Linked DNA regions of Callithrix jacchus. The protein of the gene in region 1 purifies or fractionates together with the protein of each later gene. This does not show direct contact. Links are inferred from orthologs where the notes say so. Each region holds a gene or a part of one and is shown on either strand. Other genes may lie near its edges.

Region 1 (3,653 bases):
ATATTTAGTGCAATAGAATTTACCATTTACCCAGTTTTTAAGATTAGTGCTGGTGGCCTAGTTGGAAGGTTTGAGTTTGAAAGCCATCTAAAATACATTTTAAGTTTGTATTTATTCTTCTGACATACAGTTTAAATTTCTGTCTAAAAGTAGACATATTTATATAAGATTAGAGTTCTAGACTTAAACTGAGGCTAATTAAGAAAGTTCATAGCCTCAGAACTTTATTTTTTTCTAATAAGGAGAATTTCATATTCATGTAATTCTAGTACCTGTCTTGTTGAAGGACTTATATTAATACCAGGTATTAATTAGACCATTTTAAAAGTGGATAGGCTGCATATCCTTCTGACAGTCATTTATAAAGATTTTTTCTTAAAACTTTTGATGAGACCTGGGCTACAATTTGATATTCTGTTTTCTGGGAAGATCACCATGGCAGATATCAATGTTACTAATCTAAGGACAGAATTACGTATCCATTCTCTGTACCCCCCGTTTCTAAAGCATACATCTGACTTTGACTTTTTTTCCCCCCCTTAAAAACAAAAACTCACCAGGCACGGTGGCTAACGCCTATAATCCCAGCACTTTGGGAGGCCGAGGTGGGTGGATCACCTGAGGTCAGAAGTTCAAGACCAGCCTGGCCATCATGGTGAAACCCCATCGCTACTAAAAATACAAATTAGCTGGGAATGGTGACTCATGCCTGTAATCCCAGCTATTCTGGAGGCTGAGGCAGGAGAATCGCTTGAACCCAGGAGGCGGAGGTTACAGTGAACCGAGATCACACCCCACTGCATTCCAGCCTGGATCACAAGAGCAAAACTCATCTCTAAATAGATAAATGTAAAAACTCTTGGCTGGGTGTGGCGGCTCACTCCTGTAATTCCAGCCCTTTGGGAAGCTAAGGCAAGTGGATCACCTGGGGTCAGGAGTTTGAGACCAGCCTGACCAACATGGCAAAACCCCATCTCTACTAAAAATACAAAATTGGCCGGATGTGGTCACACATGCCTATAATCCCAGCTACTCAGGAGGCTGAGGCAGGAGAGTCTCGCTTGAACCCAGGAGGCAGAGGTTGCAGTGTGCCGAGATCATGCCATTGCACTCCAGCCTGAGCAACAAGAGGGAAACTCCATCTTATAAAAACAAACAAAACACTCTTGATGGTTACTGTCTTGTTTACTATTTGATTTATATATACATTCCTTAAGCTCTAAATCCTTTTTCCCCCAACTTGCCATGGCATTGACTGCTAGTAGTAATGCACAGTCACCTCATCTCCCTTTTACTTTTGAGATCTCTCAAGGCCCACTCAGATGTCCCCCTCCATGAAACTTTTACCCTTTACTTTCAAGCTCCCTGTTTGTTCTGAAAGCACTGTGCTTACATAGTTCATATAACCCCTGTATATGATTCATTAGTGTATTTGTTCATGTCCCTCCTTGAAGTTGTGAGCCTCTCACAAAGCATTGTTTGTAGGTGGTGGTGGTTGTTAACCTCTTTATCCTCAAAGCCTAGTCTAATGCCTGTCATATAGTAGCAGATGCTCAGTGAATGTTTATTGAATGAGTGGGGCCTGTAGAAGGTGGGGTTCTGCAGGGAGCAGTTTGTCCCAAGGAAAATGGCTCTGTAAACACTGCCCTCAGGAATGCCCATGTGCTTCCCCAGTGGTTTGGAATGAACTCTGCACAACTCTTTAAGTTCAGCTATTCAGTAACAGACTAAAATGTCTGATGTGTGTCCCATGCTTAGCAGCGGAATAGAGTGATGACTAGGACCAGGCCTTTGTCCCAGATCAGGGCAGGCAAAATACAAACAAACCACATCCTGAGGCCTTCTCATACATGGCTGCACTGTATACCAGTGGTCTCAGAGGCAAATTTGTGTTTTCTTGGATCTGTGTGAGGCTTTTGAGCCTTGCCAAAACCTGGCAGAAGCATTAGAGTAAACCAGTGATTGCGGTGTATAGAATGAGGCTAGAGAAAGAGAACAAGGCAAATGCATTGCGTCATTTAGGGAAAGCAGTTGGGGTACTGACTGAGCTTTTAGCCTTGAGCAATTGTTAAACTTGTTTTTATTTTTTAACTTTTATGTAAGTTAAATACCTGCTTATTAAATACACAAACTGTAGAGAAAGTTAAAGTTCACATTCCTGTACACAGGTCATTGAAGAATAACAATTGCCTTGATTTTATGCTTTTCTGTAAGATTTTCTGAAGTGAGTAGAAGTGAGTAGAACTCAGCGAATGCCAGCTGATGCATAGGTGTTACTAGCTTAGGAAAGTGTTCTATTTATCAGAGTAATGGATATTTACCATACTTCTATGTAAATCTTGGAAACCTTATTTAATCTAAAGTGAAAATCTGTGTTGGGTCATGTTATTTTCAAGGGATGTGCCTTGCAGTTTTTTGTTTCATTCTTTTCTTTAACTGGAGCTATATGATCTCCTGTTTTGTACTGAAGTGTTTGGGGCTTTTTCTTCCCCCACCCAAACACAGAAACAAGGAGATGAAGCCACGGGTATTCTTATCTCATCAGCAGTGACTCATCTGTTTTGGCTCAGTCCTAAAAGGAATTTTGGTGCTTTATTTGGGGTTGATTTTTCCTTGGCTTAAGTTCTCTGCATAAGAGCTAGGAATTTAACTTGAATCTAGTGCAGACCTGTCTCCTCGCCCACCTGGAGTTTGTGTTTTGACCTCTCTTTCTGTACCACCACCACCTGGAGAATCGAGACCTTGGAACAAGTCAGTTATGTGGGTTCCTCCCCACCCCCACATGCAGATGGTATTACAGAGAGAATATTACATGCAGAGAATTTCCTGTCAGCCTGAAAAACTAACTGGGAATATCTTTTTTTGGTCCCTTATTGTCACCAAGCACAGAACACCTTAGGAGAAATCTTGGCTCCTTAGAGCTGCCAGTTTCAATTAGGATTAACTTGTCTGTTTCACTTCATAGCACAAGCCCTGTCTGTGGCCCTGAAGGAGGGTGCTTGTTTCAGACATTTCGGGGCAGGAATTTTCCTTAATCCTCTTTGAGAGTTATGTTGGTACGCAGCAGGTGTTTATTTTTACCTTGAATTGATTTTTTAAATTTTTGCGTTGGTCTTTAACTGTCATGTTTTTGTAGTGGCACCTATCACTCTCGAGATGAGAGTACTGACAGTGGACTAAGCATGAGCAGCTACAGTGTCCCTCGTACCCCAGATGACTTCCTGAACAGCGTTGATGAGATGGATACAGGTTGGTATTCTTTATTCCTCTTGGTAACCTGACTTATAGTCAGATATGTTATCACCAAGTCTAATAAGCTATTGTAAGCAAAGATTATTCAGAAGAAAACCAATTAAAATCCTGTAAATCTGAATTAAATTGAACCTGTTTTGTCTCTATATGGTGATTTGTAATTTGTCTTTTCCTAGTTTAAAAAAAAATTACATTGGCTGGGCATGGTGGCTCAAGCCTGTAATCCCAGCACTTTGGGAGGCCAGGGCAGGCAGATCACTTGAGGTCAGGAGTTTGAGACTAGCCTAGCCAATGTGGTGAAACCCTGTCTCTACTAAAAATACAAAAATTAGCCGGGCCTGCTGACATGTGCCTGTAATCCCAGCTACTTGGGAGGCTGAAGCAGGAGAAATGCTTGAACG
Region 2 (3,653 bases), on another chromosome or scaffold:
CTTAGCTACTAAGTTTTACTGCCTGGGGTGTAGTCAAATTAAGACTTTTGGCATATGAGTTACTTTTGAGGTTAGCTTTGTGATTTTTGGTGCTAATTCGTCCAGTAAAGTCTATTTTATTTTCATCTTAATTAGGTTTTTGTATGAATATTCAAGAAGGCATCCTGATTACTCTGCCATGCTGCTGCTGAGACTTGCCAAGGCATATGAAGCCACTTTAGAGAAGTGCTGTGCCACTGCAGATCCTCATGGATGCTATGCCAAAGTGGTATGTTTATTGTTTGAAAAAAATGTAATTCTTTGACTGATGATTCCAATAATGAGAAAGAAAAATAATGCAAGAATGTAAAATGATGTACAGTGCAATTTAGATCTTTCCTTGAGATTATTTCAATTCTTCAATTCAATACTAAGGCTACTTTTCTAAGAAAAAGTAGCCTTAGAATGTTTAACAAAATGTAGAATAGTCTAGAAAAGAAAGATCTGAACAGAGCAATCTCTAAATAATTTTGATAATTTTTCTTTTATTCACAATCCTGAGAACAAAATAATTTAAATTTAAATGTTAATTAGAAGATATTTAACTTAGTTGTAAAGTCAGTTAACCTGATTCCAATATTTTTGCATTTTAATTGTTGGATCATGATAACATCCTTTTATCAAGTACTAGAATTAATTTCTTAAGGGAAATCGTAGAATATATACCTTTAGAATATTTTCAAATCTTTTTGAAAAAGTTTAGTAAATTAAGTTAGGAGCAGAAATCTGTTCTGGAAGATTTTTAGGGTCCCCACTATCATATGTAATGGTTTCAAAACTATTCAGAATAAAAGAAAACTCATTCTTTCCTCTATAAAGAAGCTACTGTATGCCAGGCACCATGCACAACCAATGACCAAGGTAAAATCTCTCATTTTGGAGAGCCCAGAATGTAACTGGAAAGAGGAACTAATAATAGTAATATGTATAATCATAGCCATTATTTATTAAACTTTTATTATAAGGAGGCAGTGTTTAATTTCATTAGCTTAATTCATTTACAGAGCAGCTCTGTGAGATGAGTACCATCTTTGCCCCTATTTTGGAGATAAGGATTCTGAAGTGTAGAGATGGTCGGTAAAATTGCACAGCTGAAGAATGAGTCAGGTAACTTGGCTCAAATACTGGTCATTGAACTCCAGAGCCTGAATATTCTTAGCCAGTTACAGGATGCAAGCTCTCCAAATAAACAGTTTGAATGTAATGTGACAGATGTGGCATTGATATTTATCTATTCATGTGGATTTCAGAAGCTAGGAGAAAATATATGGTTCTGACCAGAGGGGTGAAAAACAACCTGCATCTGATCCTCAGGTGTGGTACTATCAACACAATTCTTTTATGTTTCAGTTTGATGAATTCCAGCCTCTTGTGGAAGATCCTCAGAACTTAGTCAAACATAACTGTGAACTTTTTGAGCAGTTTGGAGAGTACAAATTCCAGAATGAGTAAGTAATTTTTATTGACTAATTCTTGATCAATTTGTACTTATTTAAGACTTAATATATGAGCCACCTAGCATAGAACTTTTAAGAATGAAAATACACTATATATTTCTAATCACTCTTTGTCACAAACGAAAGGAGAGGAGAGGTAAAATAGTTGATGGGTTGGAGAGGCTTATATTTCAATGTAGTCTAAAAATTGTTCTTAAGACTGGAAGTATGTCACCTGGGAGGGCAAATAACAAATCTTGGTATATCAGAACTGAGGATGTTCCTTGAAGATTAAGGAATAGTTAATGGACAAATAGAACATGGCAATATTTTGTAGAGCAGGAAGTAGTAGGCCTTGAATAGCAGTTGCTCAAAAAGTAATATATAAGCTGAAAAAAATATAGTAAAATGAATTAGATATTTGAATATTAAGTTCAAGTTCTTTGGGAGATGTGCCTAGTCTTTGCTGGTTAAACCTTATGTTTCTGTGGAATTTCTCTCCACAGAAGAGATAGAGACAGAATGGCTTGCTGGACTAATGTCCCAATTCAATAGAGCCTTACCTATGAAGGTAAAAACAAGAAGAGACATATTATACTGTAGATATTTATTGTGTGGCTCATACACATAGTGCTCTTCTGATTATGGGTTTTAGGGATAACAGTGAACAAGACATAGTTGCTTCCCTCAAGTAGATTACAGTCATATGTTGACTTTTAATGGTGATTGACATTCTTAATACATTATTATTATGTATTAGATACCATGTCAGATTAATTATGTTTTATTACTTTTAATTTAATCCTTTAACTACCCCTATTGAGTCAGATATATTTCCTCCCATTTCCTACTTGTATCTTTCAAATTTAGCATCTGAAGCTCTCTCCAGGTTTTATTGAAAAAAGAAAGAAAGAAATGTATGAATGTCACTGAATTAGGTAACTCACTTTCCCAAGATTATACAAGTGGTACAGCTGGAAGTCAAAGCCAGGTTTAACTAGTTGTTCAGAAGCAAGTTTTCCCCCCTACACTAACCTATTACTCTCAGATGGAGATAATATGACAAATGGAGCATAGGAACATTTTAGTTGATTCTGACCAAGTGTTCTCTGTTTTATTTTCTATGTTAGACAGTTTCTTGCCTGGCTGAAAACACATTGACTTCTTTTTTTTTTTCAGGCTATTAGTTCGTTACACCAAGAAAGTACCCCAAGTGTCAACTCCAACTCTTGTAGAGGTCTCAAGAAACCTAGGAAAAGTGGGCACCAAATGTTGTAAACAGCCTGAAGCAAAAAGAATGCCCTGTGTAGAAGACTATGTGAGTCTTTAAAAAACATAATAAATTAAAAACACAAAATTTTACCTTTAGATATTGATAATGCTGACTTTTAGGAGCATAAGGGAGTAATGTGTGTGTTCATGTTTTTGTGCGTGTGTGTGTGTGTGTGTGTGTGTGTGTGTGTGCATGTATGTGTGCTATTGGCAGCCAGGGCCCCAGAGATGATAAATTGTTTTTTAAAAATTTATGCATTTTCAGGGTTCAATCCTAATGTTCTCTAAATTTTTACTTTCTTTGGGGGATCTATTCTTTAATGTATCATTATAGGACTATTTCTTCTTCACTGTAACACATGTCTCAGCACATATTGCCTGAAATTATTTTCATCAATTGTTTTCTCAAGCAAATTATTCTTGAAATGTAGACATTTAATTAAAAGGAAGAGACTTTTGAAAGTCCTTATTTGTAGTTTAAACACAAGTCACTGCCTCAAATCAATTTTGGATTCAACATTGCTAGTTGAAACATAATACTTATTTTGGTGCACTGGAAAGTCAGAAGTTCATGGAAAATTTTCAGCTTTAACTCTTTTGAATTTTTGCTCTCCTGCCTGTTCTTTAGCTGTCCGTGGTCCTGAACCAGTTGTGTGTGCTGCATGAGAAAACACCAGTAAGTGACAGAGTCACCAAATGCTGCACGGAATCCCTGGTGAACAGGCGACCATGCTTTTCTGCTCTGGAAGTCGATGAAACATATCTTCCCAAAGCGTTTAATGCTGAAACATTCACCTTCCATGCAGATATGTGCACACTTTCTGAGAAGGAGCAACAAGTCAAGAAACAAACGTGAGAAGTATTTCATTACTGCACGTGTTTGTAGTCTTGATGGCAAGAACTGTC
Region 3 (3,462 bases), on another chromosome or scaffold:
TGTCTCAAATGAATGTGTCAAGCCTCTGCTCTTTCCCAGACACTGTCCTGGACTTAATAAGGGATACAAGGATGAAAAAGAGGCAGATCGTTTGCAGGAAACTTGCAAATAGTAGAAAGACACAGCCAAAAAGAAATCTTTTACAGGATGGAATCGCTGTAAAAAGAGCCATTAGAGAACCATAAACACAGCGTTAAGGGACAGCAAAGAAAAGGGTTGCTGGCTGGCTGGGAGGAGCTAGAAAGGCTTTGGTGAGAGACTGTGGTATTTGAGAAGAGCCTTGAAAGAGGGATGAAGTATAGGGAGGAGAAATGGGATAGGCAAGGGTACCGAAACGGGAAAGCAGTAGTCCAGGGATCTTAAAAAGTACGGTCTGGGACTTAGCAGGGCAAATCATGGGAGAAGCTGGGGAGCTAGATTGGGGCCCTCTTTAGAAGACCCTTTGTTCTGGGATGAAAGTAAAAAAAAATCTAATTTCATCACTCCTGCTTCAAGCCATACTCTGGTTCCATTGTCCAAGCCTAAACCCCTCGGTGGGCAGGTAGAGCCCTTTGTGGTGGTGCCCATCTCCCACCCCTCCTCTTCACATGGCAGACTCCTGGTACCCTTACTGGGCACTGCCCAGCCTGCTGCCATGCCTCCCACCGGCAAACCTTCTCCTGGCACTGCCTGGATTCCCAGCAAAAGCAGCATCTCTTCTAGCCTCTGTTCGCTTCCTGGCTACAGTGTTTACCTTATTTAACAGTGATGATCTGTGAACACATCTATTTCCTGAACAAGACTTTCAGCTGCTCAGAGCCAGGGACGATGTCTTGTTTTCAGCATCTCCAGCCCCTCACAAAGGGCCCAGGAGTTTCCTAAATGAAAAAGCAAGTGGGAGTTTGTGTTTGATTCAACTGAGCGTGAAGAATGGTTAAAAATTTGAAGGATGAGGGAGGATTTTCCTGGATTTATATTCTTTGGTATTGTCCACCTGGCAGTGGCAAATGTGGAGGAACTGAAGTGGAGGGATGGAGGCTTGTGGTGGCACTGGGAGGTGGGACCTGAGTTGTGCCCATCACCCTGTGGCTGCTGGAGGATTGGTTGTCAGCACAGTAGTGCCCTTCTGTTCTTGTATGACCCGAAGCTCCTAATCTGAGGTTTCTCATTAATAGCCCATGAACCCAATTCCAGCACCGCTGCCTCCTGACATACCAAGCTTCAACCTCATTGGTGACAGCCTGTCTTTCGACTTCAAGGATACTGACATGAAGCGGCTTTCCATGGAGATAGAGAAAGAAAAGTATGTAGCCCCTGTGCCCTGCTGTGGGCGGCCGTGAACTAGAGTGACGGGGCCCTTGGGAGGCCGGGGCAGAGGTGAGGGGTCGCTGCAGCAGCCTGCCATTAGCTCCTGCAAAGGTTTCCTCTGTTCTTACTCCCTGGAGAAAGAATTTCCTTAATCAGAAATTAAGGGACAACAGATCAACATTCATTCTTCCAGGATAAAAAAGACATTTGACTGGTGACCTGGCATTTATGGTGGCTCCAAACCTCATGTGAAGTGTAGGACTGGGTTGTTAGCATCTCCGGGTCGGTTCAGCTGCTGTTGTACTAGACTATGGTCGTCTCCTAGTTGCGTTCTCCAGTGACTGGGATCTGTGATGGTTCCCACGTCTAGAACAAACAAAGGTGAGAATAGACTCAGGCTCTAGGCTGAAGAAGGCCGACAGCCAGGTGGGGCCCACTTTGCTGCAGTGGGTGGCGCTTGCCAGGGCCCCAGCACGGCCTGATCATGGCAGCTTTTGCTGAGCTTCCCTCTCTGCAGCCTCTGTTTTCCCTTGATGGTAGTAGAATTGGGTCAGAGATGGAAAGGATCCCCTCTGCAGAGGCAGTCTAAGCAAGGGCCCCTAGTTCCCAGAACTCGCGGTAAACTGCCGCCGCCTGCCGGAGGACAACTACAGTAGCCGGCATGCATCGAGTCCCTGTGTGTCAGGGGTTTTGGCTTTTGTCCATTTAATTCCTACTAGTTAACAAACATCAAACTGACATCAAAGGTAGGTTTTCATGTCCCCATTTTCTAAGTGAGAACTCGGATTTAGAGAGTTTAATGAACTCCCCCAGCGTCACACAGCTGATGCAGAGGAGCCCTGGGGTTAAAACCCCTCACCCACCTGACTCTGCCTTCCATGTGCTTTCCCCATGGGTAGCATCCTCAGGAAAACCCTTTGGGGAAAGTGTCTCCATGGAGTCCAGCACGAGCAACCACAACCCAGGCTGTTTCTCTTTGGGCTCTCACACTTAGCCAGTGAACCAGAGCCTCTAGCCGTCATATCTGCTGTCCATGTTCCTTTCACTGTTATCCAGACATATATATTTATGTGGTTGGGACTGGGGATAGGGGTGAAGCTATTCTGTGTCTGCTATTTTATAGTTTGCATTTTGTTACTATCTTAATTTGTTTTGGCTACTGTAACAAAATACCAGAGGCTGGGTAGCTTACAGACAACAGAAATTTATTTCTTAGCCAGGCATGGTGGCTCATGCCTATAATACCAGCACTTTGGGAGGCCAAGGCGGGCAGATGTCTTGAGCCAGGAGTTCAAGATCAGCCTGGGCAACATGGCAAAACCCCATTTCTACTAAAAATACACAAATTAGGTGGGTGCAGTGTCACATGCCTGTGGTCCCAGCTACTCACAAGGTTGAGGTGGGAGGATTGCTTGAGCCTGGGAGGCAGAGGTTGCAGTGAGCTCAGATCTCACTACTGCACTCCAGCTGGGGCAACAGAGAGACACCCTGTCTCAAAAGAAAAAAAAAAAAGAAAGAAATTGATTTCTTACAGTTCAGGAAGCTGGGAAGGCCAAGATCAAGGCATGGGCAGAGGTAGAATCTGCCTGGTTCATAGTCGGCGCCTTGTCACTATGTGCTCATGCAGTGGAAGGGATGAGGGATCTCTCTGGAGCCTCTTTTATAAGGGTGCTAATTCCATTTGTGAGGCTCTACCCTCATGACCTCCCAGAGGTCCCACCTCCTAACACCTTCACATTGGCGATTAGGTTTCAACATAGGAGTTTTGAGGAGACACAAACATTCGGCCCATGGCACTTCTTACCCTTGCACATGTAACTATGGCAATCCCTACAGAGTGTTCCTTGATATTTGTGTTGCATGTTTTTCCTGGCCATGCCCTTGTAGTTGGACACTTTGTGGGTGGTTTCTAGATTTTCACCATCATAGATGCTGTCACTCAGTGTATCTGTTCTCAGGTGAGGGTGGGGATCTTTTTTTCCTTGCATTCCGTGAGCTTCTGAGTAAGCTTCTGTCATCTTCAGATGAAGTCTCAGAACATGTGGGAGTATGGATGTGGCCTATCAAAAGAAATCATGTGAGGCTGGGCGCTGTGGCTTATGCCTATAATCCCAGCACTTCCAGGCCAGGAGTTCAAGACCAGCCTTGGCAGCATAGCAAGATCCTATCCAAAAA

The links.
Region 2: the proteins of YAP1 (region 1) and ALB purify together in Homo sapiens (affinity purification with mass spectrometry, with the first as the bait; 3 studies listed by BioGRID). This does not show direct contact. The link is inferred for Callithrix jacchus from reciprocal best matches to the Homo sapiens genes YAP1 and ALB.
Region 3: the proteins of YAP1 (region 1) and NF2 purify together in Homo sapiens (affinity purification with mass spectrometry; 7 studies listed by BioGRID and IntAct, with this or other methods). This does not show direct contact. The link is inferred for Callithrix jacchus from reciprocal best matches to the Homo sapiens genes YAP1 and NF2.

What each region holds. Positions count from the first base shown.
Region 1 is NC_133511.1:37,427,713-37,431,365, reverse strand, and holds part of YAP1 (transcriptional coactivator YAP1), read left to right. Parts: intron 1-3,136; coding exon 3,137-3,249; intron 3,250-3,653. UniProt on the Homo sapiens protein: Transcriptional regulator with dual roles as a coactivator and corepressor. Critical downstream regulatory target in the Hippo signaling pathway, crucial for organ size control and tumor suppression by restricting proliferation and promoting apoptosis.
Region 2 is NC_133504.1:124,645,352-124,649,004, reverse strand, and holds part of ALB (albumin), read left to right. Parts: intron 1-135; coding exon 136-268; intron 269-1,389; coding exon 1,390-1,487; intron 1,488-2,654; coding exon 2,655-2,793; intron 2,794-3,375; coding exon 3,376-3,599; intron 3,600-3,653. UniProt on the Homo sapiens protein: Binds water, Ca(2+), Na(+), K(+), fatty acids, hormones, bilirubin and drugs. Its main function is the regulation of the colloidal osmotic pressure of blood. Major zinc transporter in plasma, typically binds about 80% of all plasma zinc.
Region 3 is NC_133502.1:200,273,559-200,277,020, forward strand, and holds part of NF2 (merlin), read left to right. Parts: intron 1-1,154; coding exon 1,155-1,282; intron 1,283-3,462. UniProt on the Homo sapiens protein: Probable regulator of the Hippo/SWH (Sav/Wts/Hpo) signaling pathway, a signaling pathway that plays a pivotal role in tumor suppression by restricting proliferation and promoting apoptosis.